Macaca mulatta: one gene and its partners. The protein of the gene in region 5 purifies or fractionates together with the protein of the main gene of each other region. This does not show direct contact. Links are inferred from orthologs where the notes say so. Each region holds a gene or a part of one and is shown on either strand. Other genes may lie near its edges.

The links.
Region 1: the proteins of VIM (region 5) and XPNPEP3 purify together in Homo sapiens (affinity purification with mass spectrometry; 3 studies listed by BioGRID and IntAct, with this or other methods). This does not show direct contact. The link is inferred for Macaca mulatta from reciprocal best matches to the Homo sapiens genes VIM and XPNPEP3.
Region 2: the proteins of VIM (region 5) and NES purify together in Homo sapiens (affinity purification with mass spectrometry; 3 studies listed by BioGRID and IntAct, counting the BioPlex papers as one, with this or other methods). This does not show direct contact. The link is inferred for Macaca mulatta from reciprocal best matches to the Homo sapiens genes VIM and NES.
Region 3: the proteins of VIM (region 5) and SYNC purify together in Homo sapiens (affinity purification with mass spectrometry; 3 studies listed by BioGRID and IntAct, counting the BioPlex papers as one, with this or other methods). This does not show direct contact. The link is inferred for Macaca mulatta from reciprocal best matches to the Homo sapiens genes VIM and SYNC.
Region 4: the proteins of VIM (region 5) and GAN purify together in Homo sapiens (affinity purification with mass spectrometry; 3 studies listed by BioGRID and IntAct, counting the BioPlex papers as one, with this or other methods). This does not show direct contact. The link is inferred for Macaca mulatta from reciprocal best matches to the Homo sapiens genes VIM and GAN.

What each region holds. Positions count from the first base shown.
Region 1 is NC_133415.1:10,674,978-10,681,079, reverse strand, and holds the start of XPNPEP3 (xaa-Pro aminopeptidase 3), read left to right. Parts: upstream 1-2,200; 5' UTR 2,201-2,271; coding exon 2,272-2,335; intron 2,336-2,530; exon of another isoform or gene 2,531-3,160; intron 3,161-6,096; exon of another isoform or gene 6,097-6,102. Other genes in the region: ST13 (hsc70-interacting protein), read right to left, coding at 1,547-1,656. UniProt on the Homo sapiens protein: Catalyzes the removal of a penultimate prolyl residue from the N-termini of peptides, such as Leu-Pro-Ala. Also shows low activity towards peptides with Ala or Ser at the P1 position.
Region 2 is NC_133406.1:110,246,673-110,252,748, forward strand, and holds the start of NES (nestin), read left to right. Parts: upstream 1-2,537; 5' UTR 2,538-2,680; coding exon 2,681-3,463; intron 3,464-4,595; coding exon 4,596-4,720; intron 4,721-6,076. UniProt on the Homo sapiens protein: Required for brain and eye development.
Region 3 is NC_133406.1:208,180,968-208,186,490, reverse strand, and holds part of SYNC (syncoilin), read right to left. Parts: intron 2,699-5,523; coding exon 2,574-2,698; intron 2,411-2,573; coding exon of another isoform or gene 2,362-2,410; exon of another isoform or gene 2,334-2,361; intron 195-2,333; coding exon 122-194; 3' UTR 1-121.
Region 4 is NC_133425.1:76,691,014-76,697,414, reverse strand, and holds the start of GAN (gigaxonin), read right to left. Parts: upstream 4,226-6,401; 5' UTR 4,079-4,225; coding exon 3,912-4,078; intron 1-3,911. UniProt on the Homo sapiens protein: Probable cytoskeletal component that directly or indirectly plays an important role in neurofilament architecture.
Region 5 is NC_133414.1:18,786,208-18,792,376, reverse strand, and holds the start of VIM (vimentin), read right to left. Parts: upstream 3,969-6,169; 5' UTR 3,824-3,968; coding exon 3,261-3,823; intron 2,597-3,260; coding exon 2,536-2,596; intron 1-2,535. UniProt on the Homo sapiens protein: Vimentins are class-III intermediate filaments found in various non-epithelial cells, especially mesenchymal cells. Vimentin is attached to the nucleus, endoplasmic reticulum, and mitochondria, either laterally or terminally.

The DNA of each region.
Region 1 (6,102 bases), on a different chromosome or scaffold from region 5:
ATTCCTAATCCTGACATTTCCCGGTTGAGGAGTTTGCAAAATAGACTTCTTACCAAGTCATAGTTACTATTAACATAATAATATTAAATGGTCTCAGAATTTCACATATAAGTAAAAGTCTTTCAGTAGTTAAGACAATTGGTGGGGAGTTAAAGATTGAAAAACTACTTAAGAGGAAAAAAATATACAACGTTGACAGATTGCAACGAGTTTTTTCCTTAGAACCAGCCTGTTAATATTCTTTGAGCTATTTGGTAATCATGAGCTCATCTTCCCATATAAAAATATCAGGCTGGGTGAAGTGGCTGACGCCTGTAATACCACCACTTTGGGAGGCAGGGGAGTCCTTTGAGGCCAGGAATTCAAGACAAGCCTGGGCAACTTAACGTGACCCCCACCTCTAAAAAAAAAATTAAATTAGCCAAGTATGGTGGCTCAATCCTGCACTGCTAGCCACCTGGGAGGCTGAGGCAGGAGGATCGTCTGTGCGCAGGAATCAGAGGCTGCAGTGATCCCGCCACTGTATGCGGCCTGGATGATACAGCCAAACCCTGTCTCTAAAAGAGAAAAATCACTAAATAGATAATGTTCACAATAGCACCTCTTAGGAGTCGCAATGGTCTGCATAGTTGCTATTTATCCCTGTTTAGTGCAATTTGTATGTCATCTTTGCAGTTATCCACTAGTAGTAACTTTTTAAAAAGTCATCTTAGGGAAGACTTCCTTCTCACTTTTTCTCTCTTCGGGGCTCCTTCAATACGTAAAGTGCTAATTACTATTATATAGTAAATATCAAAACGAACTTTCGTATTTATTCGTCTGTATCCCTAAATAGTACTTATACTGTTTCCTAGCACCAGGCACAATGCCTTGGCAATTAACTCCTTGCACGTAGCGAAGTACTCTACAGTTAAAGACAAGAATACATCCTGGAAACACGCCAGGACTTAAAACATTATTTTTCTCAGAAGTGTTTGGAGTGACAACACTGCCAAGTAACGGAGGTATAAAAAGTGATTCTCAAGATAATCCTACGCAGCTAGAAACGCTGTAAGGTAAAGACAATCATTTTTACAGTTATCATTTTTATTCTAACTTACTAAATAATTTTGTAACTTTTAACTTACTAGTGTTATATTATAATAACACAATGTAAAGGGATAGTGCGTAAAAGAACCGCTATATACCAATGAGACCTGAGCAGGGCACACGAGACTGAAAGAAAAAACCACCCCACGCAAAAGCTAAGTCTTGCAGTTCTCACTCCTCGCGTCTCCAGTGTCGACGTATCCGTTTTTTTATTTCGCCCAAGATACACCCCTGGCAACCTCAGGGTGCGAGGAACCCGGTCTGCCTCCGGCTCGCCGCAGCTCCTGTACTACCCAGGGCTCGCGATCCTCCATGACCCATCGAAGTCGCCTCCCTTTCCCGGGCAAAGAAGGGGCTGCGACCCCGCCTCGCCCGCCGGCCGGAGCCAGCTCCCGCCCGGCTCCCCCTGGGGCCGTGCTTCTCCCCGCCCCCAACGGTCCTCAGGCCTGGGTCTCACCTCTCCACCCACTCTCTCAGGAAGCGCATTTCCTCGGTGTGCAGAACGCTCGGGTCCTGCTTACACATTTTCACAAAGGCCCGAAGCTCGTTCACTTTGCGGGGGTCCATGGTAGAGAGGTGGTGGGCGAAGCTGGGGGGACTACGGCCCTGTTCCAGGCCCAGGCGCTGGCTCGGCGTGACCGCGCAGAAGGGGGCGGCTGCCGCGAGGCAGAACAGACCAGAACCTCCCCGGCCGCTGGCTCCTCCCACCCAACGGTCTCGTGACCCCGGGTCCTCCGCCTGCTCATTCCTACTCTCTCTGCGCTGCTCCTGCGCGCTCCCTAGAACCTTCTAGAAGCGTGGCTGTTCGTGCTGTTGCCTGCCTCCCTGCGCATGCATTCTCATATTCTTAACTAGGAACCAGCTCCCTGGATGGGCCAACCCCAGAAATGGGCGCCTGCAAGGAGGCGGTAGATAGCATCCCCTCCAGGGAGCAACGTCCAAGAACACATCGTGTGGCTGCGCGCACCGAGTAGAACTCAACACCCCGACCTAAACAAGGGTGTGGAACCGGAGAGGCGGTCCCACCTCGGGGCATGACGTCACACCCTGCGCCGCCGCGCAAGGAAGGCCCGGGAGCGACGCCTGCCGGAAGCGGGGGGGGGGGGCTGGCCTGGTTTCCTGGCGACGCGGCGCTGCAGGCGGTTACCCTCTTTCTCTTCCCGACGCGTGAGTTAGGCCGTCATGCCTTGGCTGCTCTCAGCCCCCAAGCTGGTTCCCGCTGTAGCAAACATCCGCAGTTTCTCAGGTTAGACTCTCCTCCCACGGTCTCCTCCCATGGTGTCCCCTGGAGGGACCCAAGTTGGTCTCAGGCGATCCCTGTTTCGGCCGACCTTTCTCCTGGTGGGGCCTCCGCTCCCCAACCCTCTGTGCTCTCCGCGGATTTCTTCTATACCGGCTGCTCCTGGAAGGGGGTGGTCCCAGTGTGTTCTCTACCGTTCAGGTATTCTGTGAAGCCGAAACGACTGCAGAGAAAAAAGTGTGCCATTCCCCAGAGGGGCTGTCTTCCAAGTTACTCGGACTCCGAAGTTGTGGCAGTTATCACAAATAAGTGATATAAGTGACAAAGTGTCTCACATCAAGTAGCTCTTGTTTCTGTTAGGCATGAGAGCTTGCTCCAGAATATACACGAAGCGTGTCTTAGTAACACAAATTATTTAAGCAGCTCTTCTTAGGAAAGGTAACTGTTTGGAAATACTCCTGGGGCATTCTGTGTCTGAAAGTCCTGTTTGCAAAGACAAGACGAAGGATTAAGGAGAATAATTTTTTGTAGGGTGTCCTCTATTGCGAGCAATTAATCTGATGAACATAAAGCTTAATCAGTGAAAACTGAATCACCTTCCTTGCAGGCGGATCTGCCATTGGATTGTATTTCAGTTTTTTGGGCCAATATATAAACAACGTGTGGTATTTGACATCAAAGCTATGTCTTGGCATATGTTTATGTTGATATACTTGAATTCATTTAAAATGGAATGTTAATTACATCGACTTCTTACTATAAAAAATAAAAAGTTATTGTCCAGTGCACAGAACTTGTTCTTCAGTTCTCATAGTAAAGCTACAGAAAGACGTAAGTTTCCGTGGGATTAGGTGAAAAGAAAGATGTGCAATTGTTCAGTCTTTTTTTGAGACAGGCCCTCATTCTGTCGCTCAGACTGGAGTGCAGTGGCAATCTCTACTCATTTGCATCCTCTTGCCTCCTGGGGTCAAGCAATTCTCGTACCTCAGCCTCCGGAGGTAACTGGGATTATAGGCACGTGCCACCACGCCTGGCTAATTTTCGTAATTGTAGTAGAGACCAGGTTTTGCCATGTTGGCCAAGTGGATCTCGAACTCCTGGCCTCAAGCGATCCACCCTCCTCTCTGAGCCACCGCGCCCGGCCTGGAATTTGCTTTTATTTGAAAGGCTGTCACCAACATGACTAAAAGCCGTACTACCAGAAGGAACGCTTGTAAAGACACAGAACTCTGAAAAGGAATGGCCAACACTAAGCATTGCAATCATGTAGTATGGCTGGATTTTTTTTTTTTTTTTTTTGAGATGGAGTCTTGCTCTGTCGCCCAGGCTGGAGTGCAGTGGCCGGATCTCAGCTCACTGCAAGTTCCGCCTCCCGGGTTTACGCCATTCTCCTGCCTCAGCCTCCCAAGTAGCTGGCACTACAGGTGCCCCCCACCTCGCCCGGCTAGTTTTTTTGGTGTTTTTTTGTTTTTTTTTTTTTAAGTAGAGACGGGGTTTCACTGTGTTAGCCAGGATGGTCTCGATCTCCTGACCTCGTGATCCGCCCGTCTCGGCCTCCCAAAGTGCTGGGATTACAGGCTTGAGCCACAGCGCCCGGCCTTTTTTTTTTTTTTTTTTAAAAAAAAAAGACAGAGTCTGACTCTAGCCCAGGCCCGAGTGCAATGGCGCGATCTCTTGGCTCACTGCAACCTCTACCTCCGGAGTTCAAGCGATTCTCCTGCCTCAGCCTCCCGAGTAGCTGGGATTACAGGTGCCCGCCACCATGCCTGGCTAATTTATGTATTTTTAGTAGAGACAGGGTTTCACCATGTTGGCCAGACTAGTCTTAAACTCCTGACCTCGGATTATCCGCCAGCCTCGGCCTCCCAAAGTGCTAGGATTACAGGCGTGAGCCACTGCACCCGGCTTAGGAAAAGCTTTTTTGAAATATGTTCTTAGACAAAATAGTAGGCATTACACGAAAATGATTCTGTGATCAAATACTTTTGGGGAATGCTGCATTTCATAATGTACATAATAGTTTAAATCTTTTTTTGGAGATGGGGTCTCGCCATGTTGACCAGGGTAAACTTGAACTCCTAGGATCAAGTGATCCTCCCACCTCAGCCTCTCAGAGTGTTGAGATTTTAAGCGTGAGCCACTGCACCCAGCCCTTAATAGTCTAGGTTTCTAAGAGATGTGTTCAGCAGTAATTTGCAAAATGTGTAAAAATGTATTTGACCATGGACCCCTTTTCTGTGATGAGTCTTGAACTGGTATCCCTGGAACAGATTTTGGAAACAGTTGAGCTAGAGCGTAAGATGGGCGCAAGGAGCTGATAGGAAATCAAGTTGGGAAAAAGCTGGTGGCTGGCTCATGGAGGGCCTTGTATATTATGTTAAGAAACAATTAGCTTTTTCATTTAGATGGTGGGAAAACTTTGAGGAATTTTAAGCTATTGAGTAAGATGATTAAATCTAAATTTTTGGTTTTCTGTTAAGAGTGAAGAAATGGACTACAGGGCATGTCATTACATTCTTAAATTTTCTGAGACACTGATTTTTGCTTTAGTTTTTGGAAAATTGCAATTTTTTTCAACTTTACTACCATATAAATGATAACAGATAAACTTTACTAAATATCACATCTTATATAAGAAGCATTTAAAATACTCTGGGCTTTTATTATTTTATTTTCTGAAAATAAACTTTTTATATGAATTGTCCCCAGTCTCTTCTGTAGAATAAATAACCTTTCCTTCTCCCATCTGCCCACTAAAAATCAAATAGCGATACAAAACACAAGCTCTTGACTATAACTGTCTTTTAAAAATAGCAGATATTATCATTTTTTTCCAATTTTGTATTTGTATTTGGCCAAAGGTGAATAAGTTTTAGTGCTGCTAGACGTAACTCAAACGATTTGCTCGATATCTGGTGTATTTGTAACCCATCTGTTTTTCTCCCAACATGACTAAATTAAAATGGCTATACGTGGTATTTCAATGTAACGTATTTGTAGATTTTGTGTACAAACTCTAAACAAAAATAGAAAGTTTCCTATCTGGAGTGATTCAGTGATGGCCTACCATACAGACTGCTCTGAGTTCAGGGTAAGACTGGCCTTAAAAAAAGAGTGGTAAAATATACTACATAAAATTTACAATGTTACCCATTTTTAAATTTTTTTAATTTTTTATTGTTTTTCTTTAGAGACAGGGTCACACTCTGTCAGCTGGAGTGCAATGGCAATATCATAGCTCCCTACAATCTCAAACTCCTGGGCTCAAGCAATCCTCCCACCTCAGCCTCCTGAGTAGCTAGGACTACAGGCACGCACTACCACACCCAGCTAAAGTTTTTAAAAATTTTTTTCATAGAGGACAGGTCTCTTTATGTTACCCAGACTGTCGTGAAATTCTGACCTCAAGCAACCCTCCTTCCTGGGCCTCCCAAGATGCTGGGATTACAGGTGTGAGCCACTGCACCCAACTAAGTTTATTTTTAACTTAAAATATTTTATACTTTAATTTTTAATTTGTAGTACCTTTAAGTTATGCATCAAATGCTGTACCTCCATTGGAAAAAAATCATTTCATGAATAATTATATAGTCTGAACCTGTGTGTCTTAATACCTTCTTGTCTCCTAATGTTATGCATGTTTCAGAAATGTGTATAGTGGTTTTAATTAGAGAAAAGAAATAAAATAGGATATACACTCTACTAAAGAAAAATTCTGAAGTAAAAAACTCTTTGCAGTTTTCCAAATTCCTTTTTTTTTAAGACAGGGTCTC
Region 2 (6,076 bases), on a different chromosome or scaffold from region 5:
TCTCCCAGACAGAAAGTGAAAGAGAGAAGGAGGTCAGGTGCGGTGGCTCACGCCTGTAATCCCAGCACTTTGGGAGGCCAAGGTGGGTGGATCACCTGAGGTCAGCAGTTCAAACCAACCTGGCCAACATGGTGAAACCCCACCTCTACTAAAAATACAAAAATTAGCCTGGCATAGTGGCGGGCAACTGTAATCCCAGCTACTCGAGAGGCTGAGGCAGGAGAATCACCTGAACCTGGGAGGTGAAGTTTGCAGTGAGACAAGATCACATCACTGCACTTCAGCCTGGGCAACGGAGCAAAACTCCCTCTTAAAAATAAAAATAGGCCGGGCGCGGTGGCTCAAGCCTGTAATCCCAGCACTTTGGGAGGCCGAGACAGGTAGATCACGAGGTCAGGATATCAAGACCATCCTGGCTAACACGGTGGAACCCCGTCTCTACTAAAAAAATAAAAAAATAAAAAATAAAAATAAAAGAAAGAGAGGAAGAGATTCCAAGCCAGCTCTGCTGGCCACAGCTCTAGGGAGACCTCAACCCAAACCAAACAGCAGGATTTATGAAGTTATGCAAGGTTGAAGGAGCCTGGGCATCCCAGATCCTCAGCCTCCTGGCCTGCACTGACTCTTAGTCAATCTCCTGTCACTAACCCCTCCCTGGCCTCCATTCTACATATTGGTGGTGAATTCCAAAGCCCCACTGGCCTGGGGACAGCGATGGGGGCCTTAAGAGACTCCTCAAGGGGAGGGGGTATTGATGGGATGACTTCCTGGTTATTGACCTGGCTGTACCCTCTACCCAGAAAAACCCCTCCATCCTTTGTGCTGCCCGGCTCTGTCCCCAGCACCTTGGAGGCTGATCAAGTATTCTAGTCATCTTATTATGTTTACCTCCACCACCAGACTATGAGTGCCCATCACTGTTGACCTCACATCACCAAACTATAAGCATTTCCAGGGCTGGGACAGAGTCCCAGCAATCTCTTTGGTGCTGACACATAGTAGGTGCTCAATTAACACTTGAGCTAAATTGGATTTAGCAGCTTGATCAGAAATGCCTTCCCGGAAGATCCCCTCTGTCTCATTATCCCTGCATCTCCTCCCCAGCCCTGCTTCTCCTTCACTGTAAATCCCCCAAATTCCACTTGTCCTTTACCTCCCAGCTCAAGGATGCGCCCCGTCCAGAGAGCCTTCCTTACTACTCTCACCCTTGGTGAGCTCTCTACTTCATAAACTGTAGAATCCTTTTTTTTTTTTTTTTTTTTTTTTTTTTTTTTTTTTGAGACGGAGTCTGGCTCTGTCGCCCGGGCTGGAGTGCAGTGGCCGGATCTCAGCTCACTGCAAGCTCCGCCCCCCGGGTTCCCGCCATTCTCCTGACTCAGCCTCCCGAGTAGCTGGGACTACAGGCGCCGCCACCACGCCCGGCTAGTTTTTTGTATTTTTTTTTAGTAGAGACGGGGTTTCACCGTGTTCGCCAGGATGGTCTCGATCTCCTAACCTCGTGATCCGCCCGTCTCGGCCTCCCAAAGTGCTGGGATTACAGGCTTGAGCCACCGCGCCCGGCCTAACTGTAGAATCCTTAAAAGGCTGTTTTGAAGATTAAGTCAGGTCATGGAAGTAAAATGTTAGAACACGACTGGGCACATCATAAAGGCTGGATAAACTTGGGCTAGTGGTTAGGAAGGAAAGAGTGGCCTCTTCCTGCTGCTTCCACTTCTGAAAGCCGCCAGAGGGCGTCCACCACCCAGAATTCTCTGGCAGGGGGTGCGGGAGAAGGGGCCCCTCCCCAAGAACAGAACTTTCTAAAGTGGATGTTTGAACATCGCAGTTATAGGGAAGAGTTGTAGAAAGGATGGAGAGACAAACGTTCTTAAGCCCATGACGGCCCTTCACCTGGTCGCTCCCTTTTCTGATGGAGACTCGGGCAATAGCGTGTGTGTGTGTGTGTGTGTGTGTGTGTGTGTGTGTGTGTCCCAATATCAGACATTTGTTCTTGTTTTCCAGGCAGTGTCTCCAGCTTCTTTCTGTAATGCTGTAGTACTCTCTCCAGTATTTCAGGAGGATGAGCATTTGTTATTTTAAAAAAAACCAAAAAACAAAAAAAAAACCTGGCCACATTCATTTCTTTCAGCAGCCATGCGATTTCCATCACTGCTCCCATTTTATGGATGAAGAAACTGAGTTAGAGGAATTCAGTAAGTGATACCTCTCTCGGATGTGTCGAGTAACTGAGACTGCACTCCCTCCAGGCTGGAACGTCCTGGCACCCCCACTCCCACAGGCTCGGTTCTGTGCATTATTTGCCTTTTTTGCGGATTGTGACCCTTCTTCACGGCCTCCTCCCTCAGAAAGCCACCACCCTCAGATCCGATTCTCCATGGTAGGGCTTCTTCTTTGGTTCCACTCTCCAGCACCCTGGGGAAGCAGGGACAGAGGCTGCTGCCACTCTCTGACCTCTAAGGGGTTAAGACCTGGGTCCCGCCCCTCTTCCCGCCCGCCTGGCGGGAGTATGAATAGCCTCGCTCCCACTCCCGACTCTCAGTCGCTCAGGCTACTCCCACCCCGCCCCGCCCCGTCATTGTCCCCGTCGGTCTCTTTTCTCTTCGGTCCTAAAAGCTCTGTGAGCCGCTCCCTTTTCCTGGTGCCCAGCGTCTGTCCATCCTCAGTGGGTCAGACGAGCAGGATGGAGGGCTGCATGGGGGAGGAGTCTTTTCAGATGTGGGAGCTCAATCGGCGCCTGGAGGCCTACCTGGGCCGGGTCAAGGCGCTGGAGGAGCAGAATGAGCTGCTCAGCGCCGAGCTCGGGGGGCTCCGGGCACAATCCGGGGACACCTCCTGGCGGGCGCGAGCCGACGATGAGCTGGCGGCCCTGCGGGCCCTCGTTGATCAGCGCTGGCGGGAGAAGCACGCGGCCGAGGTGGCGCGCGACAACCTGGCTGAAGAGCTGGAGGGCGTGGTGGGCCGATGCCAGCAGCTGCGGCTGGCCCGGGAGCGGACGGCGGAGGAGGTAGCCCGCAACCGGCGCGCCGTCGAGGCGGAGAAATGCGCCCGGGCCTGGCTGAGCAGACAGGCGGCAGAGCTGGAGCGCGAGCTAGAGGCTCTACGCCTGGCGCACGAGGAAGAGCGCATCGGCCTGAACGCACAGGCTGCCTGTGCCCCCCGCTGCCCCGCGCCGCCCCGCGGGCCTCCCGCGCCGGCCCCGGAGGTGGAGGAGCTGGCAAGGCGACTGGGCGAGGCGTGGCGCGGGGCAGTGCGCGGCTATCAGGAGCGCGTGGCGCACATGGAGACGTCGCTGGGCCAGGCCCGCGAGCGGCTGGGCCGGGCGGTGCAGGGTGCCCGCGAGGGCCGCCTGGAGTTGCAGCAGCTCCAGGCTGAGCGCGGAGGCCTCCAGGAGCGCAGGGCAGCGTTGGAACAGAGGTTGGAGGGCCGCTGGCAGGAGCGGCTGCGGGCTACTGAAAAGTTCCAGGTGAGGAGGTTGAGGGCCTGGGTGAGAGAAAGTTCCAGAAAGCTCCAGAAAGTCCCTTATGAAGCTCAGAGACCTTCTGGGAAGGGAGTGGGGCTAGCTGGCTGTTGAATCAGGAGCCAGTTCTCAGAAACCTGGTGCCACAAGTCCTAGACTTTTACAGCCCCGTCTAGTGTAGGGTGCGAATGGTGGGGCTTCTCAAAACACATCCCTGGGTGGGCAGTCAGGCCCAAGACTCATTGCAGCAGCACCCCCCCCCCCCCACTCTCTGGGTGGCACCGTCTGGCTCTGATGATGACCGGGGCTCCGGGCCCCTCCCCAGGCTCTGCTATTACTGGGAAGATGCCCAGCACTATCGCCTCTGCGCTGAGTCTGGTGGCCTGGTCACTCAGAATCTCCAAGTTCCTCACAGCCCTCCTTCCCCTGAGGGGAGGAGTGAGGGGCCCTGAATGAATGGTTACCAGCCCCCTCCCATGTCATGGCTTCTCGGCTCCCTGGAGCACATTCCAGAGGCCCATAACAGCTGCTCCTTCTCACAGGGCACAGATGTGACCAGCAGCTGCGAAAACAGCTTCTTGCCTGAGCCACACAGAGGTGCCATGGCCACCTCCCCATCCCTCCTCTCAGAGGAGAGAGAATCCAGAACATGTGGGAAATTGGGTGGGGCGGGGGTGGGAGCCTGCTGTGAGGAGCAGGAGACAGCTATGGGAGATGGGACCAATGGGGGACTGGGGCTGTTTGCCTTCCAGTCCTGCAGGCTCCAGGCCTCTTGATTAATCGTTTTTCCTTCTGCTTCCACTTTTTTTTTCCCTCTTCTCCTCTCCATAACCCATCACCTCCCCTTCCTGTGGGGGCTGTGTTCTGAGCAACATGTGCTACCATTTAATCAGCATCCTCAGAGGAGGAGCAGTGGGAGAGGGCTGAGAGGGCTGACAGGGGCCCTGGGCTTATCTTGGCTGATCCAGAGGGGGCTCTCTGGGCAGGGAGTAGGGTGGGGGAGACGGGGGTCTGCTGCACAGAGAAGTCAGCCAGGGAGCAGGAGGTGCTTCCCAGGCAGCAGCAGCGGGCAGGACACAGGTTGGTTCGCAGAAGGGACCCCAGCCCCTCCGCTGACTGCCTCTTGCCTGCCCTGCAGCTGGCTGTGGAGGCCCTGGAGCAGGAGAAACAGGGCCTACAGAGCCAGATCGCTCAGGTCCTGGAAGGTCGGCAGCAGCTGGCGCATCTCAAGATGTCCCTCAGCCTGGAGGTGGCCACGTACAGGTACGAGATGAGCCCTGTCTACCCAGGCACACAGAGGTGCACACACATGCTGGGGCAGACTGTGTGGCTGAAGGGGACCAGAGGTGTAGGTGATGGTAACTCTGCTGCCACTGGGTTCTGTAACTCTAGGCTAGTGACTTCCACACCGAAACATGTCCTGCCTGAAACCATCTGCTCTCCCGTAGGTTGGAGACCTGAAAAATGTCCTGTGCCCAGGAAATTCCCCCAGGAGAGATGATATTGCTGAGTGGGACAGCCTCTGGAGAGGGGCTGGACCCGTGCGGGGCAACTGTATCCAGACCCTCCCCCCAAGGGGCAAAGCTCCAACTCTATGCGTGCCCACACCCCGGGGGCCATGTCCTTTGGCAACCACGGAAAGGAGGCATTGCAGGCATGGGGTGGCTGCACTGACTTGCCACCTGACCTGGGCCTCAGCCTTGTCTAGGGGCTGAGAGCTGGGCTGGGGGACTTCCAAGGCCTCTTCTAGCCTGGATGTCATGGGGCCTGACTCCTCTGATGCCCCCTAGTGCCCTTGGTCCTGCCCAACCTTTCATCGTCCACATTTTCTGTTTTCCTAGAAATGGCTGAGACCAAGGAGGGGCGGCTTCTCACTTGCTATGTGGCCTTGGGCAAAGCCCGCAGTCTCTTCTGGGAAATTGGCCCTGTTGGCTGAGGGGCCATTGATGGACCCTGAGGAAGGGGCTCTGTGGCTGGTGAAGGGCCATATGAGGTCAGGAAAGGAGGGGAGGCAAGGCCCAGAGATGGAAGGTCAGTGAGGCTCTGGGGAGGATGTGGAAGAGAGGGGCTCCACCACCAGGGAAGAGAAGCCCAGAAGGAAGGCCACAGCATTGGGAAGGACAGAGGTGAGGCTACAGCAAGTGCTAACCAGTCTCAGAGATCATGGAGCAAAGCAGAGAGGAGTAGCTGCTCAGCCTAAGTTGTTGAGTTGATTGGTCCCTGCTCCCCTCATTGGTTCAAGGGGCACTGAGGCAGGGGCCTGGACACAAAGACCTCCGTGCACCGAAGAGCTTGGGATCCAGAGTGCTTAGAGATCCTAAGATGAGGGCCCTGACCCCAAGTGAAACCACCGAGGGGAAGGGTCTGGTGGGCCCCGAGGAATTTAACTGCTGGTTTTTGAGGCATGAAAAGGATTTGGAGAGGGGGAGCTGAATTCATTTGCTTTTGTCTGTCGCTAGCTCTGGGGGCCACCAGGGAAGGAGGAGGGAGCCCATCCCATGGGAACGGCCTGAGAATTCCCACTTCCCCAGAATCCTCTCCTTCTCAGACCCTCCAGATGGTGACTTGGACAATGGCAGCAATTAGCATGAGAATCGGTCCCCCACACAGAGGATGAGG
Region 3 (5,523 bases), on a different chromosome or scaffold from region 5:
CTCCAGCAAACTCTACAATCTTTTTAAGCAGGTCAGCCAGTATTTGCAACTTCCACAGGATGAAATGCTTGCCAAGTTCCTGGCACTCTTGTCTGTTCGGAAGAGAACGTCCAGAGGGTACTTAGTGATCCTTTGCTAAGAAGTTTTTTGCTGTTTCTGGGTTACAGATTTGGCCATATATTTCTAAACAGCCCCTGTAAGGTTGAAAGAAAAAGAAAAAGTTTGTAACAATGAACTTCTGAGGTTTAGTTACTGCAGGCTTTGTTGAGGAGAGGTTGTTACAGTGTGATTTATGGATGATCAGGGATGACTTTCCCCTAGCAAATATTTGGATGCCTCCTGTTTGTGAAATAGAGTGAATGGTAACCTATGTGGTGGTGATGGGAGGGATACTTAAACGTTTTTCTCTGGTACGTTAACTTCCACAGGTATAATTACAATGCCTGAAATTCTTTAGTTTCATTTCTTTGGATTAGTCATTGTCTTTTCCAGATTGTACTTTTAATCTGATCCACACAAAGATAGCTAGCAGATCATTGACTTCAATTGCAAGGTTATAATTTCACAAACATTAGGCATATTATCAGTCATGTGGATTCAAACACAGTTTAAGAAAATCCTCAAGACTGGGTGTGGTGGCTCATGCCTGTAATCCCAGCTGCTTAGCAGGCTGAGGCAGGAGTATTGCTTGAACCCAAGAGACAGAGTTGCAGTGAGCCAAGATCGTGCCACTACTCCAGCCTGGGCAACATAGCAAGACCCCCCATCTCTACTAAAAAGAAATTTTAAAAAATAATAATATCCTAGAAAATTAGAAAAAGCAACAATAGTTACTTGTGGGCCAGGCACAGTGGTTCATGCCTGTCATCCCAGCACTTTGAGAGGCTGAGGCTGGTGGATCACAGGGTCAGGAGTTCAAGACCAGCCTGGCCAAGATGGTGAAACCCCGTCTCTACTAAAAATACAAAAATTAGCCGGCCGTGGTGGCACACACCTCTAGTCCCAGCTACTCAGGAGGCGGAGGTTATAGTGAACCGAGACCAAGACCGAGCCGCTGCACTCTATCCAGCTTGGGTGGAGCGAGACTCTGTCTCAAAAAAAAAAAAAAAAGTTACTTGTGAATTTGATGTAAGTTTAGGAAATAAATAAAATATATAGGCATCTGTATAATATACAACTTGACACGGACTTTTATCCTTAGTTTCTTTAAGGGACTCTAGAACTTTTATGAGAATATACTAGTAAAACATTTGGGGAGGGATCCTGAATAGGTGATTGGTCAGAAAGATGCCTTCAGTTTTGTCAGTGTCTAAAAGTAAGTCTGTGTGGGCCAGGCACGGTGGCTTACACCTATAATCTAGCACTTTAGGAGGCTGAGGTGAGTGCATCACGAGGTCAGGAGATCGAGACCATCTTGGCCAACATGGTGAAACCCCGTCTCTACTAAAATACAAAAAATTAGCCAGGCGTGGTGGTGCATGCCTGTAATCCCAGCTACTTGGGAGGCTGAGGTAGGGGAATCACTTGAACTCGGGAGGCAGAGGTCACACCACTGAATCCAGCCTGGCAATAGAGCAAGACTCCGTCTCAAAAAAAAGGAAAAAAAAGGTAAGTCTGTGTAATATGAACATCTCTGCTTCTACCCAAAACCACAGCCTTTGAATATTAAATAAGGAAATTAATGGATAGATATGTTTATTATTTTTGATAGCACAACTGCCTTCCCTGCTATTGTAAGGAAAACAGAATAGCAGGTGGGTAGGGTAGGGTGAGGAAACAAGATGCCCAAAGCCTAGATGCCACAGAATTCGTGGTGATAATCAGGGCATATTTTGAGTCCTACTAGAAACTGAAACATTCCAAATGAACTCTGAATGCCTGACCCAGGCATTTTGGAGGTTTTTGTTATCCCCTTGTCATTAGGCACACACTTAAGGGTTTTTTTGTTGTTGTTTTTTTTGGGGGGTTTTTGTTTTGTTTTGTTTTTTTGAGACAGAATCTCTGTTGTCCAGGCTGGAGTGCAGTATTGTGATCTTGACTCACTGCAATCTCTGCCTCCCGGTTCAAACAATTCTGCCTTGGCCTCCTGAGTAGCTGGGATTATGCCCACTATGCCCAGCTAAGTTTTATATTTTAGTAGAGATGGGGTTTCACCATTTTGGCCAGGCTGGTCTTGAACTCCTGACCTCATGATCTGCCCACCTCGGCCTCCCAAAGTCTTAGGATTACAGGCATGAGCCACTCCGCCCGGCCTGTTGTTTTTAAGACATTAATTAGTACTGTTAGGAAAGCAGTAACAATGCAAACACCACTCTTCTCTCCACAAAGATCACCTTGAGACTGTGTTTCCATTCCACCTGCCTAAGAAGTGGGAGCATCAGCCTCTTCCAGGCTCTTGGGTAGCATAGCCCTTTAAAAGAAGAGAGCCATTTTCCATGTGTTTGTGGATAAGCACAATTTGAAAATCATTTCCCAAATCCTTGTTTTTGACTCTAAATTAAAATTTTCCCTAAGCCCTTCCACCATCCCCTCAGCCAGTGTTAGATGAGATTTGTGTAGCAGCGGAAACTGACTTATAAGTAGAGAGCTCTTCAGCAAGACTGAGCCTTAGCTGTTCCATCTCTTTGTTCTTCTGTTGCTGGACTTGCACCCCACTTCTTAACTGCCTTTGGCGTTCTTCCATTTCCTCCAGCTGTTCCTGCATGAGATGGCCAAGAACATTTCTAATGAGCCAAACAATAAAAACCTGACATTGTCCACTCTAAATAAAACACTTTTTTGTTCATTGTTTAATCTTCGTAGCAGTATTGAGCAGCATTTATATGATAGGTTACGAAACAGAGGTTCAGAGAGGTTGGTCTTTGAAAAAAAAGTGAAAATGGTGACCTAAAAGGAATCTTGTCTGTTAACCACAGCTTAATAGACTCCTGGGAGGGTGATGGGGACTTTTTAGTATTACAACCTTAGTGTCATTGAGGAGGATTTTGGTCTAGTTAGTGAACTGAGAGTTTCATATACTTCTCCCTCCATGTGCAAGTTTAAGATAACTGGTAGTTTTTAATAATATACTACTTGGCCGGGCGCGGTGGCTCAAGCCTGTAATCCCAGCACTTTGGGAGGCAGAGACGGGCGGATCACGAGGTCAGGAGATCGAGACTATCCTGGCTAACATGGTGAAACCCCGTCTCTACTAAAAAAATACAAAAAACTAGCCGGGCGAGGTGGCGGGCGCCTGTAGTCCCAGCTACTCGGGAGGCTGAGGCAGGAGAATGGCGTGAACCCGGGAGGCGGAGCTTGCAGTGAGCTGAGATCCGGCCACTGCACTCCAAGCCTGGGCGACAGAGCGAGACTCCGTCTCAAAAAAAAAATATATATATATATATACTACTTAAAGTATGGCAACAATTATTAAATATTGGCTAGAATTCTAGGAGAGTTACACAACTAGTGGAAGTCCATGTTTAGAAAATAAATGGCTTGTTTAAGGAAAAGTTTTTGTGTCCAAAGCTCCTTAAAGTCAGAGATACTTCTACTTGGTACTTACCTTAACATCATGTGGAAATTGATGCTTTAGTGAGGGTGTTGGCTATCCTAGTTGCTAATTTCCTGCATCCTTTTTTCTTCTTAATTATTTTTTTTTTATAGAGACAGGGTCTCGCTATGTTGCCCAGGCTGGTCTTGTTCCTGGGCTCAAGTAATCCCCCCACCTTGGTCTCCCAAAGTGCTGGGATCACAGGTGTGAGCCACTGTGTCCAGCTCATCCTTTTTTCATTACACAAAAAGACTGAATTTCTTTAGTTGTTCTAAGTTGGAAGATGAAGATGCTATGCACAGGAGACCCTTGGGAGCCCTCAGATAATTTTCTTATTCTTACAAAACCAGGTTGGGATGCATTCTGTAAATTGTCCCTGCCTATGATATATACCTGAGGAATAAGGTAAGGACGATGTCAGCAAGTCAGTCTCTGGTTGACCTGCTAGCTGGCATGGATCCTTAAGGAGGCGGGAGGGAGTCGGGAAGAGAGGAATGGGTGAAGTTGGTATCTTTTAAAGGGAGAGTAACTTTACCTCATTTTAAAGAATACTAAGGAGTCCAGTTGGGGTAAATGCTATTATGAAAAGGATCTAGAAAATTTGTCCTCTGAGTCATACTTGACATCATACCTGTGGCACATCAGCCTGCACTGTTTGATACTCTGGCTGTATCTCAGCTTTCACCAACATTGTCCAAGGACCTTTTTTTTTTTTTTTTTTTTTTTTTTTTTTTTTTGAGACAGAGTCTCTCTCTGTCGCCCAGGCTGGAGTGCAGTGGCCGGATCTCAGCTCACTGCAAGCTCCGCCTGCCGGGTTTACGCCATTCTCCTGCCTCAGCCTCCCAGGTAGCTGGGACTACAGACGCCCACCACCTCGCCCGGCTAGTTTTTTGTATTTTTTTTTAGTACAGACGGGGTTTCACCGTGTTAGCCAGGATGGTCTCGATCTCCTGACCTCGTGATCCGCCCGTCTCGGCCTCCCAAAGTGCTGGGATTACAGGCTTGAGCCACCGCGCCCGGCCCAAGGACCTTTTTTAGTGCCCAGCCATGCCTAAGAGTGTGTCGTCTAAAGAGGGAAGCATCTGCATACTGCTGTCCTGATTTCTCAGTCCTCACTACATACCAGACCTGTTGTTAAGGCACAAAAGTGCATGCTTGGAAAAGCAGTCCGCACCACCAGTGATAAGCTGTGACAGAGTGCAGCAGCGAAGAAAGGATCGCTACAGTGGCATTAAGGATGGTCTCTTAATCCTGTGTTAACCACTAGATTAACTTTCCAGTCAACTCACAGTCCTTCAAAGGCTTTCCACTTTATTTAGTGGCATTCAGACCCCCTCTAGTTTGACCCCTACCTCCAACTTGAACCTCTGTTACTCTTCCATATGAACATTTTCCTCTAGCCCTGGATTACTAGTACCGAAGCCACTAGTCACGTATGACTCATTTGAAATATGACTAGTCTCAATTGAGATGTGATGTAAGTGTAAAATACACAGCAGATTTCTAAGACAGCACACAAAAAGAATGTAAAATACGTCAATATTTGATACTGATTACATGTTGAAATATGTGTTGGGTTAAATAAAATGCATTGAAGTTAATTTCACCTGTTTCTTTTTTTTAATAGAGCTACCAGAACATTTAAAATGACATTTGTGGCTTGCAGTGATAGCACTACTCTACCCTGACCAACTCAGATCTCTGCCTGTGTTCCTGCCACTTCTTTCACCTAGACAAACAGTCCCTTGTTTTTTGCCACCTTCTAACCTACATACTAACTTCTCAAGGGCCAGTACATGTCTGTCTACAGTTGCCCCAGCACTTGCATTGACAGCATTCCCAATTTTAATTTTCTACATAGGCCAAAGACAGAAAGGATACATTCCCCAACTCAGAAGTGAAACTGCTACAGCAATAGTATGAAGTAACAGGTGCTGTGAAAACAGGAGGGTTACCTGTCGGGAAACCAGGAAGAAGGGAAACGGGTTTAA
Region 4 (6,401 bases), on a different chromosome or scaffold from region 5:
TTTTTTTAACCTAAGAGACAGGGTCTCACTCTGTCGCCCAGACACGCTGCAGTGCAGTGGCAGTCATAACTCACTGCATCCTGGAACTCCTGGGGTCAAGGGATCCTCCTGCCTTAGCCTCCCAAAGTGCTGTAATTACAGCCATGAGCCACTGTGCCCAGCCTGTCAACTACTTTTGGTTTAGTTTCCCCAACAAACCAAAGAGAAAATCTCACCCAGGAACCAAAAGGAGGAAAAGCTTTGGGAAAGGAGCATGCTGGGAAAGGGGCATGCATGCCATTTACTGAGCTGAGGGACCCCAGGAGGTACTGCCTCCTTCCTGGAGCAGCTGCACCCTAGGGCTGCATGACACATGCTCTCTACATAACCTGGGAATGCCAGTCCTCTGTGAGCTGATCATGAGGGTGTACTGCCAAAGTTGAGTTTTCTGGCTTTTTCCTTTTATATTTAAAATCTTTCTAATATGGTATGATTGTTGAGGGAGTCAGCAGGAAAAACAAAAGCTAGATCAAAGATAAAGTAGAGTAAAAGATTAAACCAGTAAGTCAAAAGACTTTTCCATATTAAGTAGATAGTATGCCAAACAAAGTTACTTTAATTCCCAGTGTGACAGAGTTGGACTGGCTCCCTTCGTTGGGCACATATTAAGCAACAGATAATACTGCTCCTATTTTTTTATGTATATGATTTATTACTGTACACACTGGGTCTATGTTGCCCAGGCTAGTCTGGAACTCCTGGCCTCAAATGATCCTCCCACCTCCACCTCTCATAATGCTAGGATTACAGGTGTGAGCTACCATGCCAGGTCATAACATTGCTTCTAAACCATAGAATCACACCAGCACTTATGTCAGTTACCAACACTAGGCCAAACACAGACATTAAACAAAATCAGAATTTCATAAAACTTCAGAGATCACCGAACTTTTGAACATCCAATTCACAGATTAATGACATCACAGATCTAAATGCTTAAGTTTCAAAAGGGAAAGATAAGAAACATCAAGTTCTAGAATACATATATACATTTTGTTTCAATATAATTCTCTAAAGGGCTATTCAAACAAAACAAATACATTATAAAAGCCTAATATTACTGGTATTAAAATTACCAGTAAAAATAAAAAATTAACAAATTTATTTCTAGTCAGTAATACAGATTCATCAAATTACTATGAAACAGCTTTGAAATTGATAATTTTTTAAAAATCTCAAGACATTCTATCACTTCAAAAGCCAAATAAACTTTAAGCAATTAATCTGTCACTGATGAAACACGTATTGACTGATTCATGTTTACCTACAAAATGTAAAAAAAAAATCTGCCTTGCCTTTAAAGATGGTTGAAAATGGAAACCAAAATGAGACAGTATATAAAAGTGCTTGATAAGCATTTTAATTATAAGATACTGTAAGCCAGCTAACAGAGTTTACACAGAGAGAACAGTGAAATACAAGTGATGCTCTAACTTGGTAGGGTAAGAGTAGTTAGAAGGCTAGGTGCAATTAATTCGGAGTCTAATCCTAGTTCAACCATTAAGTACTAATAACCTCATAACACAAGTCACTAAAGTCCACTGAGCCCCTATTTTCTTATTTAGAAAGTGAAAGAACTGGACTAGAGATACTTCCTAATTCAATGGGTACTACCTTTGAAAACCTGGGAACAGACCTATGATGTGTCAAAACACTATTACATATTTCTTCACAGGTGGGTCAGTGATTAAATGAGAAGACTCATTTTTATCCCTCACTCATCAGATTAGTGAGCTGAAGCCTTGTCATCTACCAGCAACTCACAGCTAACATGAGTAAAAGCTGGAAGCACAAAGCTGGTCTTCAAACTCTGAACCCAGTGCGTTTCTCAATTAGGTATAACTCAGTGTCTATCTACTATGAAAATGTAATGGAGTCAATTTGCTAATGTCCGAATTTGCTGTGGTAGAAAGAAAGGCAGTCATTCATTCAATACATTAACTGATAGGCACTGTTCTTTCTGGGTGCAAAGAGTAAAGCAGTGGATAAAAGAAAACACCGCCGGGTGCCATGGCTCACGCCTGTAATCCCAGCACTTTGGAAGGCCGAGGAGGGCAGATCACGAGGTCAGGAGTTCGAGACCAGACTGGCCAACATGGTAAAACCCCGTCTCTACTAAAAATACAAAAATTATCCGGGCGTGGTAGTGGGTGTTTATAATCCCAGCTACTTGGGAGGCTGAGGCAGGAGAATCGCTTGAAACTGGAAGGCGGAGGTTGCAGTGAGCCGAGATCACACCACCGCACTCCAGCCTGGGCGAAAGAATGAAACGCCGTTTCAAAAAACAAAACAAAACACCACGACCTCATAGAGCTCACACTGTGGTTGGGAAAGACCATCAACGTAAATGTGTAAAATACGGGGTACATCATAGTGGTAAGTGCTACGGAGAAAAATGAACAAGGATAGCAAGCAAGGACAAGGCGATTTGCAATGTACTTCTTTTAAGCCAAACGGATGCCATTTAAAGAACTGTAACAATAACGCATCTAAAGTAGTTTTCTTCAGCATTTTCCCAAACAGGGAAGATGGCCTGCTGATTCCAATTTGAGATTGGTTGCTCAAACCTCTGAACTGCCAGCTAGAAGCTGTCTGTCACATTAGCAATCCCAATTCTGTACTAACGATGATACCTCGGCCCCCACTCCCGCCCCCCCACCACTCCACACCCCTCACCGCCAAAGAGCGCAAATGGATTTATAAAACAAATCCAGGAGAAACCAGAAGTTACAAGAGCGCTTGAACTGCTTCTAAGTTAGCACAAATGTCTCCCCAGTTCAAAGGTTAAAGTGCAGCGTTTGTGGTGGTTTTGCTGGGACAAAGCGCTAAGAATACACATCATTTTGCTTTTTCTGACCTGTCAATTGTAGTGATATTCTCTACCATTAGCCTATATTTAACCAGCTTACTGGGCAGTTTCTCCAGTTTTTAGCATTCCCCCCTTCCCTTTTATTAAAACAGCAACCTAGTTTGCAAGAAGGTTGCTAAAAGAAAAGATAGCCTTCTGCAAGATCTGATATACTTGTATAAGCACTGTCTTATCAACCTTTTAATTAACCTGGTTAGTTGAATTGGCAAATCAGGTTAAGTTTTGCTTTACTAAAGTATTAAAATGCCCTTAGTCGCAAGGCTCTCACGGTCCTCGGGTTGTAACAGCATCCTGAGAATTCGCCACAGTTTACTTCAACGTGTAACTCTTCTTTTAAACAGTTACCAGAAAGGAGCGGAAAAGACACGTTTGGCAAGGAGAAGAATTTCGCCCGGGGGATCTGACTACCAACCCAAGGAGAACTTCGAGAGGGTTTTCTCTGCCAGCACCCCGCGAGGCGCTGTCGGTCCGGCCTCCCAGCGGGCAGGGCGCTCCCGGCCGGGTTGGCGGCGCCGGCCCAGCCCCCGAGCGTGAATTCGGAGGCGACCGGCCGGCGAACTTCAGCTGGGACCGCGGGCCCGGCCAGGGCGAGGGGGCGACTCTTCCCCAGGGCTGCCTCGCCCAGCTCGCAGGTGCGGGTCCCGGCCGGCCCAGGACGGGATCTGGGGGCTTCCGGGTCTCCGAGGCCGGGCGCCCGCTGGCGCATTGGGAACCGGGAGGGACAGGGCGGGGGATCGCGGCCTGGGTCCGGGGACAACTCCGAGGGGCGCGGGGGTCCCATGGGGAGCGCGGGCCCGGAAGGCACAGAGGCCGCCCGGGGGACGCGGTCAGCGGGGCCGGGTTCCGGCGCGTGCCGGGAGGGAAGCCACGCCAACAGTGACGCGGGGACCCCTGCGCCGGGGACAGGAGACAGGGTCTGGGGGCCACGCCCGGCCCGGCCGCCCCGCCTCCGGCTCCGGGCAGCAACGCCGCACCCGCCCGCCCGCCGCGGCCCCCTCCCCACCTGATATAGGGACTGGCCGCCGCCAGGATGTTCTTCTGCACCGGGATCTCCTCCCCGTCGAGGACCAGGTGCGCGTCGCAGAAGCGGGACTCCTCACGGAAAGAGCTGAGCGCTCGCAGCAGACGCGCGGCGTGCTGAGGGTCAGACACGGCACTGCCCTCAGCCATCGCGGCGCCCGCTCCTCTGCCAGCGGGTCCGGCTCCCGACACCGCCCGGCCGGACCACTCGAGCCGCCGAGTCCCGCGCGCGCGCCCGCCCGGCCCGGCTCTCCGCGCTCTGAACAGAAGCTGGAGCCCCCGGAACGCGCCTGTGCCATCCGCGGCGCGCTGGGCCGGCGCCTTTAAGAAGCCGCGTCATGAAGTCATTTCTCCGCGACGCCCCCGCACCGTCGCTCCCCGCCCTCTCTCCCCTGCCGCTGGAGGCAGCCAATCAGAAGCCTCCTTCCTCCGCCCGCGTGACCAGCTCCGCCTGGGTGCAGCGGAAGGTGTAGAGGGATGAGGTAGGTCCCTGCGGCGGTGGAGGGATGTGCGGGCGGGCTAGGATTCTGTGGTTGAACCTGCGGCCTCTGGGGCCGCGAGTTTGAATCCTGGTTGCAGCTCTTCCACTTACTAGCTGTGTGGCCATGGATAAGGTGCCCATCCTCAGTTTCTCCGTCTGCAAAATGAAAACGACTTTTTAGTGGTGTTGTGGACCCATGAGATGACGCATGGAAGCAAGGGCGCAGTCGCTGTAGCTTGCTTTATTTATGAGAGAAAAGGAGCTGCCCAGGTGAGAGCACAAAGACCCGAGAAAACAGACCCAGAAAAGATGGTTTTGGTTGCGGGCTAGGAAGGAGACGTGGCAGATGAAGCTGGAGAAGTCCGAAGGAGTCCTTAAGTTTTGTAGGGCCTCCTTGGTGTGGGAAGGAGGTTAGTTTCTGCAGGGGTGAAGAACCATGCAAGGGTATTTAGCAGAGGGTTTTGTGCAGATCACTCAGCTCCTGCGTGGAGAATAAGGCGGGGATGAATGTGCTAAAGGCGATCGATGTTTAGGTATTGCAGGACTTAAGAGAAGGGAATGGGCACCTGGATGAAAGGGTGATAGGAGGTGGACAAGGGTGGATTGTTTTAAAAGAAATTATGAGGGAGAGGGAGTCAAGGATAAATATTCTGGTTGAGTAACTGCATGCATGTTTGTACCTTTCAGGGAGAGCTAGGAAATGCTGAAGGGGTGGGCAGTAGAGAAGCAGATGTTTAGATTCAGACAGGCTCCCAACCCAGTGAAGATCAAAGCTGTGACAGAAAGGATCTCTGGGCCAGCTCAGCTGGCAGGCCAAGCCCCACAGTATCTGAAGTTTCCCTGGAGGCTGCTCAGGGCACATGGGAGTGTGGAATGTAGCTACCATTTTGTGCAAACGTTAGGTACTCCATAAGCCTCTAAAAAATTAGCAATTTTATGAGGACCTCGGACCAGAAGAATGTGGCCAGCATTCCAGTCAAGACAGGATAGGATTTTCACTGAAGCAGCCCAGTCTTTTCCTTCAACCAACTGAGAGGCTCCAATAAAGTCTTGGGTATTTACCCAGACCAGCCAAGGCTTTGGAGTCACTGGCAGGAATCTGGGTATCTAACTGTTTTCAGAGCAGAAGAATAGGTGGGAAGGGAACGGCTGTGGAAGACACATGCATTTCCACTTCCTTCTGTAAATGCAGCTCAGTACTCCCGGATGCAATGATGTCTAGGATTTGCTTCAAAACACAACAAAGGGATGGGGAAGCAGATGGGAGTGTAGATGAGTCAAAAGTGGCCACAAGTTACTAATTGTTAAAGCCACGTAATGGGGATGTGGAGATTCGTCGTACTGTCTCTATATTTTTGTGGATGTTTAATGGGGATGTGGAGATTCATTGTACTGTTTCTATATTTTTGTGGATGTTGAAAAATATTTTCTTTTTCTTTTTTTTTTTTTTGAGATGGAGTCTCGCTCTATTGCCCAGGCTGGAGTGCAGTGGCACAATCTCTGTTCACTGCAACCTCTGCCTCCCGGGTTCAAGTGATTCTCCTGCCTCAGCCTCCCAAGTAGCTGGGACTACAGGCGTGTGCCACCATGCCTGACTAATTTTTGTATTTTCAGTAGAGATGGGCTTTTACCATGTTGGCCAGGCTGGTCTTGAACTCCTGAGCTTGTGATCTGCTTGCCTCGGTCTCGGCCTCCCAAAGTGCCGGAATTACAGGTGTGAGCCACGACACCCGGCCAAAAAATATATTTAAAAAGGTAAGAAACACACAAGACAAGCAGCTTGGATTTATCTTCTCCATGATACCTGCCCAGGAATGTCAGCTGCCCTGGGAGTCCTGCAATACCTCCCAGGGCAGCTGACATTCCTTTCTCCAAGCAGTTGCTGTATTTTGAACATTGCTCCAGCAAGAAACTTATTGTAATGGGTTTATTTATCCATGTCACCTGCTATATTATGTTTATCGTGGCTCAGCATGATTTCCAGGTGCCAAG
Region 5 (6,169 bases):
AGCACTTTGGGAGGCCGAGGCGGGTGGATCACTTGAGGTCAGGAGTTTGAGACCAGCCTAGCCAACATGGCGAAACCCCATCTCTACTGAAAATACAAAAATTAGCTGGGTGGGTGGCACACACCTGTAGTCCCAGCTACTTGAGAGGTTGAGGCAGGATAATTTCTTCAACCCTAGGAGGCAGAGGTTGTAGTGAGCTGACATAGCGCCACTGCACTCCAGCCTGGGCAACAGAGTGACACTCTGTCTCAAAAAAGAAAGTAATTCCTTTAATTTAATTACCTTTTAAATCTAGAAAATCTATGCCACAACATTGTTAAGATTTGTTTTGTAATTTCATGGAATAACATGATGATAGAGGTGGACATATTTTCATAACTTCATGTACACTTGAGTACATGGAGAACAGAAACTTGTGCTTCAAGAGTTTTAGCTTTTTTTCCCCACTCAAATCTTTTGAAACTTATCCTTAGGCTCCAAAGCAAATATGCAATCATGTGGCATCCATTGTACAAGGCTAGATTTATATTCAATAATAACCCAATTCAGGATATGCTGCCAAAGATTCAGTTCAGGAAAAATTGGAAAAGAAATGTAACTCTGAACTGTATTTTCTCTGCTTTCTCTGATGGATTTTTCTTCTAAAACTCCTTTGACTCATCCTACAAAGGCGTGTCTTTTTCGCTTGCCACTGTATCCGTTCAGTTGGCCTGTTTCAGAATGACTGGTCAAACTTGCAGAGAATGAAACTACATGAAGGATTTTTGCTGATTCAGCTGTCCTTCTATGTTTCCATTTGTAAAGCTCAACATTCCAATTCAGAACATGTAATCTTGCAACTAAGATTTTATTTCCTCTCAAAAGGATGCGTGAGGATTGTTTATCTTGTCAGCAATTATATTTGGAGTTCAGTTTATAGCCTTATGGTCTTAAACTGTTGAGACTTTTCTATCACCTTAGTGGAAAAATGAATGAAGAGTGGGTGATAAAAAGATCAGACTTGATGAAAACATTCATTTTTACTTGCTAAGCCCTAAGAAATACATAAAAGATATTTTACTAATCTCCAAAGAAAGATCAATGTGGTATTACTATTACATTGAAGAGAATGAGGAATTTTGCTTAAAGAGAATGAGGAATTTTGCTTAATCTCAAAACAGAGGATCTTTTGTATTGATGTTGTTTTACGTTAACTCACTACTCTGCAGAAAACATTACAGGTATGATAATCAAAAATGCTCAAGGACTAAAATGAACCACACATTGCTGTGGTTAAATTAATTTGGTAAATGTATTTCAGTTTCAAAATGTTGTACTACACTATTCATCTGAGAGTGCTTTGTAGTTAATCCCAGTAAATATTCCAGGGAATAAAACTATAGACTATAATGGGGATCTTCTGGCTTCTGGATTCCAATTTTAAGTCAAAAATTCTGTAAGTCCATCCAATTTTGGTGGGAAAAAAAAAAAAAAAAAACGCACAAAAACCCTTTAGTTAAAATTGAATTTTTCAGCCTTAGATTTATTACTATTATTATTATTTTTTATGGCGAGAGTGCTAAAGAATACAAGAATCCAATCAAGAAAGGACTTTCAAAATGTGAGGTATGTTTGTAGCTTTAAAAACTTTTTACATTACATACTTCTCAAGTCTGGGCCAGATATTAGATAACGGATGTTAGCAAATACTTGTGTCCAATTAGAACCGTGCTTACATCACTACATATTCAATAAGAATGTAGCCTGCTGCAAAGCTTCCCCGGGAACACAAAGACTCCTATTATTTCTGTCCACAGCCACCACATTTGCCAGAATGTCTGTATCTACATTCCATAGTGAAGCCCATAGAAACCATTAATACCCCTCAGCCGAGGGGACAGATGGCTCCTTTTCACCCTTATTAGATCACAAAATAGTTGTGCATAGTGATACTTCCATCGAACTTTAATGCCACAATAGAAGTTGCAAAGAAGAAAAGAAACTTGCTGGCTCCATTCCAGTTGGAAACTAAGTTTTCTTATCTTCCAACACGTTTTCCATTTTAAACTGTAGGGCATAACTGCGCTTTTTGTGACCTTGTAAAAATTAAGCGACTTGACTTTGGCAAACCACAATCTAAAATTGTGACCGTTCGAAACCAGAAGGTCAATGTGTTGCAAAACTGTGCAACATTTTGCAAACAAAGTAAAAAGTTAAAAGATTTTTCTTTATGTCCCAAGGAACGGCTTAGAAATCATTCAAGGATCGCTTGAACCCGGGAGGCAGAGGTTGCTGCTAGCCAAGATCTCGCCACTGCACTCCAGCCTGGGCGACAGAGTGAGACTCCGTCCCCCCAAAAAATCGTCCAAGCGGTTTTATTAATATTTTTTCTAATAATGAGAAGCTCCAATCTGTGGTCTTCCCGCCACTAGAGGGCTTTACGCGCAGCCCTGAAGTTTTGCACTTTTTAGACGTGGGTTAAGCAACTTTTAGAATTGCTCGTGGGTTGTGTTGGGTGGGGTCAGGTAGCTGCGAGTGGGAAGAGAGCCTACAAACCTGTCTGAAAGATTGCAGGGTGTTCTCGGCTTCCTCTCTCTGAAGCATCTCCTCCTGCAATCTGAAACAGTTGCGCATTAACCAAAGGGGAACTGGGAAACCGCCAGGGGCGGGGCGGCCACACCCAACCACCACGTAGCCGCGCTGCGCCTCCAGAGCCGCTGCGCCACCTCGGCGCAACTAGCGCTTGCAGCTTTCAGGCCTGTGGCCCTCGGCAGGTTTCAGTGGGACCTTGGGCACCGCGCAGAGGGGCAATCACGGTCGCCGCACAGACCTGCAGGACAGCGCCGCCATACCCACCCCCGAGAGACCATTCCTTTGTCTCGCTCCCTCCACCGCCTTCCCCTCCTTCCTTCGCCCGCCGGGCGATTGGCCGCCCGCCAGAAGGGGCAGGAAACTTTATAAAAGTTTGGAGGACTCGCTCTCATTGTGCCCAAGGGCCTTCAACTGCACACAAAGTGGTAGTTTTAAGAAATCTGTAACTTGAAACGGAGCGTCCTTGGGCAATGTGTGGGGACAGAGGGGGAAATGCGAACTGCAAGGTCTGGGTTCTGGGCGGGGCTGCGCCGCCACAGCCACAGCCGCTGCTCTCCGCAGTCCCCCCGGCAGGCCTCCCCCGGGCCTCATCCCCAAGGGCGTGGCAGCCCTGGCGGGGGCGGGGGGCGTTCCCCTCTCCCTCCAGCCCCCTCCCGAGGCCCAGCGACTTGCAATGGGCGCAGCCTTACTTCTCCCGGAGGCGCATGATGTCCTCGGTCAGGTTGTCGCGCTCCACCTCGACGCGGGCTTTGTCGTTGGTTAGCTGGTCCACCTGCCGGCGCAGCTCCCGCATCTCCTCCTCGTAGAGGTCCCCCAGGCGCGACTTGCCCTGGCCCTTGAGCTGCTCGAGCTCGGCCAGCAGGATCTTATTCTGCTGCTCCAGGAAGCGCACCTTGTCGATGTAGTTGGCGAAGCGGTCATTCAGCTCCTGCAGCTCCACCTTCTCGTTGGTGCGGGTATTCTTGAACTCGGTGTTGATGGCGTCGGCCAGCGAGAAGTCCACCGAGTCCTGGAGGAGCCGCACCCCGGGCACGCTGCTCCGCAGGCGCACCGCAGAGGAGCGCGTGGCATACACGCCGCCCGGGGACGAGGCGTAGAGGCTGCGGCTGGTGCTGGGGCGCAGCGCGCTGCCCAGGCTGTAGGTGCGGGTGGACGTAGTCACGTAGCTCCGGCTGGAGCTCGGCCGGCTCGCGGTGCCCGGGCCGCCGAACATCCTGCGGTAGGAGGACGAGGACACGGACCTGGTGGTCATGGCTGCGGAGGGTGGCGATGGGCTGGGCTGCGGCGGTGGCGCGGACTGGCTCCTAGAGAAGAGGCGGACGAGGGCGCGGTGGGTGTGGGTGGTGGGAGCGCGGCTGAGTCTCTGGCGCGGGGACCTCGGAGCGAGAGTGGCAGAGGACTGGACCCCGCCGAAGGCGCTGTTTTTATAACCGCATTAGGAAGGAGGGTCCCCTCCCACTGCCATCCCAGCCGCGGAGCGCGCCAGCCAATAGGGACCTGGCGAGAAGCGGGGAGGGTGGGCGGGTGGGGTGGGGGCGCCCTCGAGCCTTTCTCCTCCAGGGCCTGGGACTGGGCATGGTCCCGTTACTTCAGCGCTGGGCTGGGACTTTTGGGGCTTTCCGGATGATAGTCTGAGCTGGGCTCACCCTGGGGTGCTGAAAAAGGCGGGGTCGCGCGGTGAGGGGGGATCCGCCCGGGACTGAACCAGAGGGGTCCGGTGGCACCGCGCCAGAGGGGCGTGGGAGGAAGCGCGCGGCTGCCTCGGGGCTGCGGTCAGGTGGGGAGACCCGCGAGCAAAGGAGCGGGAAGAGGGAAGAGTAAGGGATCCGGCAGATCTGAAGTCGCTGAGAAAGAAACAAAGAGCGCCTGAGATTGGAACGCGGGATGGGGGCGCGCACAGCTCAGGAACGTAGGGCTCAGGGCCCCGCGCAGCCTCGCTCACCGCCCGCTTGGAAAGGGGGGCTGCTCCGGCCCGCGCCTCTGTCGACTTGCCTTGGCTGGGAGATGTTGGGGGGAGGGGAGGCTCTATCGAGGGACCTAACGGACTCAGTCCAGCTTCGGACGGCGGGAGTTGACAGGCGGCGGTGGCAGAGGAAAGCCCGAGGGAGAGGGGTGGGGTCGCTGAGTCACCGGTGGTGACTCACCGCGCCCTGCTGTCCCGCCGATTGAGGGCTGCTAAGCGGTTTAGGGGAAACCGTTAGACCAGATTGACTCGAGTCTCCGCGGCTCCGCGCGTGCTGCTGGTTCCCAGTCCTACCAACTTAGAGCTGGGCCATCGCTTTGATGTGTGCGGTGGGGCCCTTTGGGGGACAAGAGCGCCTCTAAGTTCTTATAACTCGCTAAAGCCTGACTTTGCTCGATGTGTGGACTTTTTGTTAGTAAGAAACTTCTTCAGCCTTTGAAGAGGCGCCATACGTGGGCCTCCTGGATCACGATTGCACGGGGAAGGTTTTTCTTGCAGAGTCCCCGCCCCCGTCCCTCCGGTCTCCTCTCGCTCTTCCCCCTCCCCGCGTGAAACCACACCCAACTTTTTAAACAAGATCTGAAAATTCTGGGTGAAAGAGGAAACTCAACGTCCGTAGTTTCAAAATCGAACTCAGTGATCAGTGGTTTTCACCCTGGTGGAAGTTATTAAAGGTATAATTTGAGCCAATGAAATAATTAATTAGGTGTTGCTTAAAAACCCCAATTTGATTAATGAGTTCAAATGAAAGGCAATTATATAACACAAATGACAGAATGTTTGGCGGCAATAGATTTGTGTGTTAATTTTAGGACAGCCAATGCACAGTGCAGGGTTCACGGTGATTTGTCTGGGAAATGTCACAGGTCCTGTTTTCCAGAAGAATTCGTGCAATTGACCTTGGGGTGAGGGGGGATAAAACTGTCCACGGAGCAAAAAACTTCGTGTCCCAGGCACGGAGGGAGTGTTCAGATTCGGTCATCTTAACCTTTCTAGGGAAATCACTCAATTCAAGGGCTGTTGTTTCAATATTAGTAACGAGCAGAGCTGAGTACTCACCAGCCAAGGGAGATAAAAGGCGGCTATGTAAATCAGTCTTCTTGTGATTTAGTAGCAATTGAAAAAGCACAGTTTTTTTGAGTATTTAGATTTATGGTGTACTGAAAGGATTAACTACAGAACCACTGTAAAATCGATTCTGCAGTGGATAGGAGGAAAAAAAATGCATTTCTTTCTTTCTTTCTTTTTGGTGGGGGCAAGGGGTACTGCAGGTTACCTGGTATTTAAGAAAAATAATTTAGAGGCCAATGAAGAGCTTCTTCTGACTTCTTCGGACAAGCCTCTTTTAGGCAATATTTTGTTTACCTTATCCCGGTTCGTTCTTGCAAATGGTGCTGCCAAGGTGGAATTACAGGACTCTCTACTGCCCAGCTCGCCTGCTGGGGCTTTCTTTTATTCTTTCTTTCACTGGGAGGCTGCAGGTCATTCCCCAAGAGCATTCCTGGGGCTGGGTGCCCTGGAGGACAAGCCTATGCTCTGAGTTACATCTTGCTTTCTGAGAGCCCTTTATTCAAGCCACTGCTCAGCAAATGTCACCATTGTGAGTTTGCCTGGAACCCTTAGAATGAGAAAGGC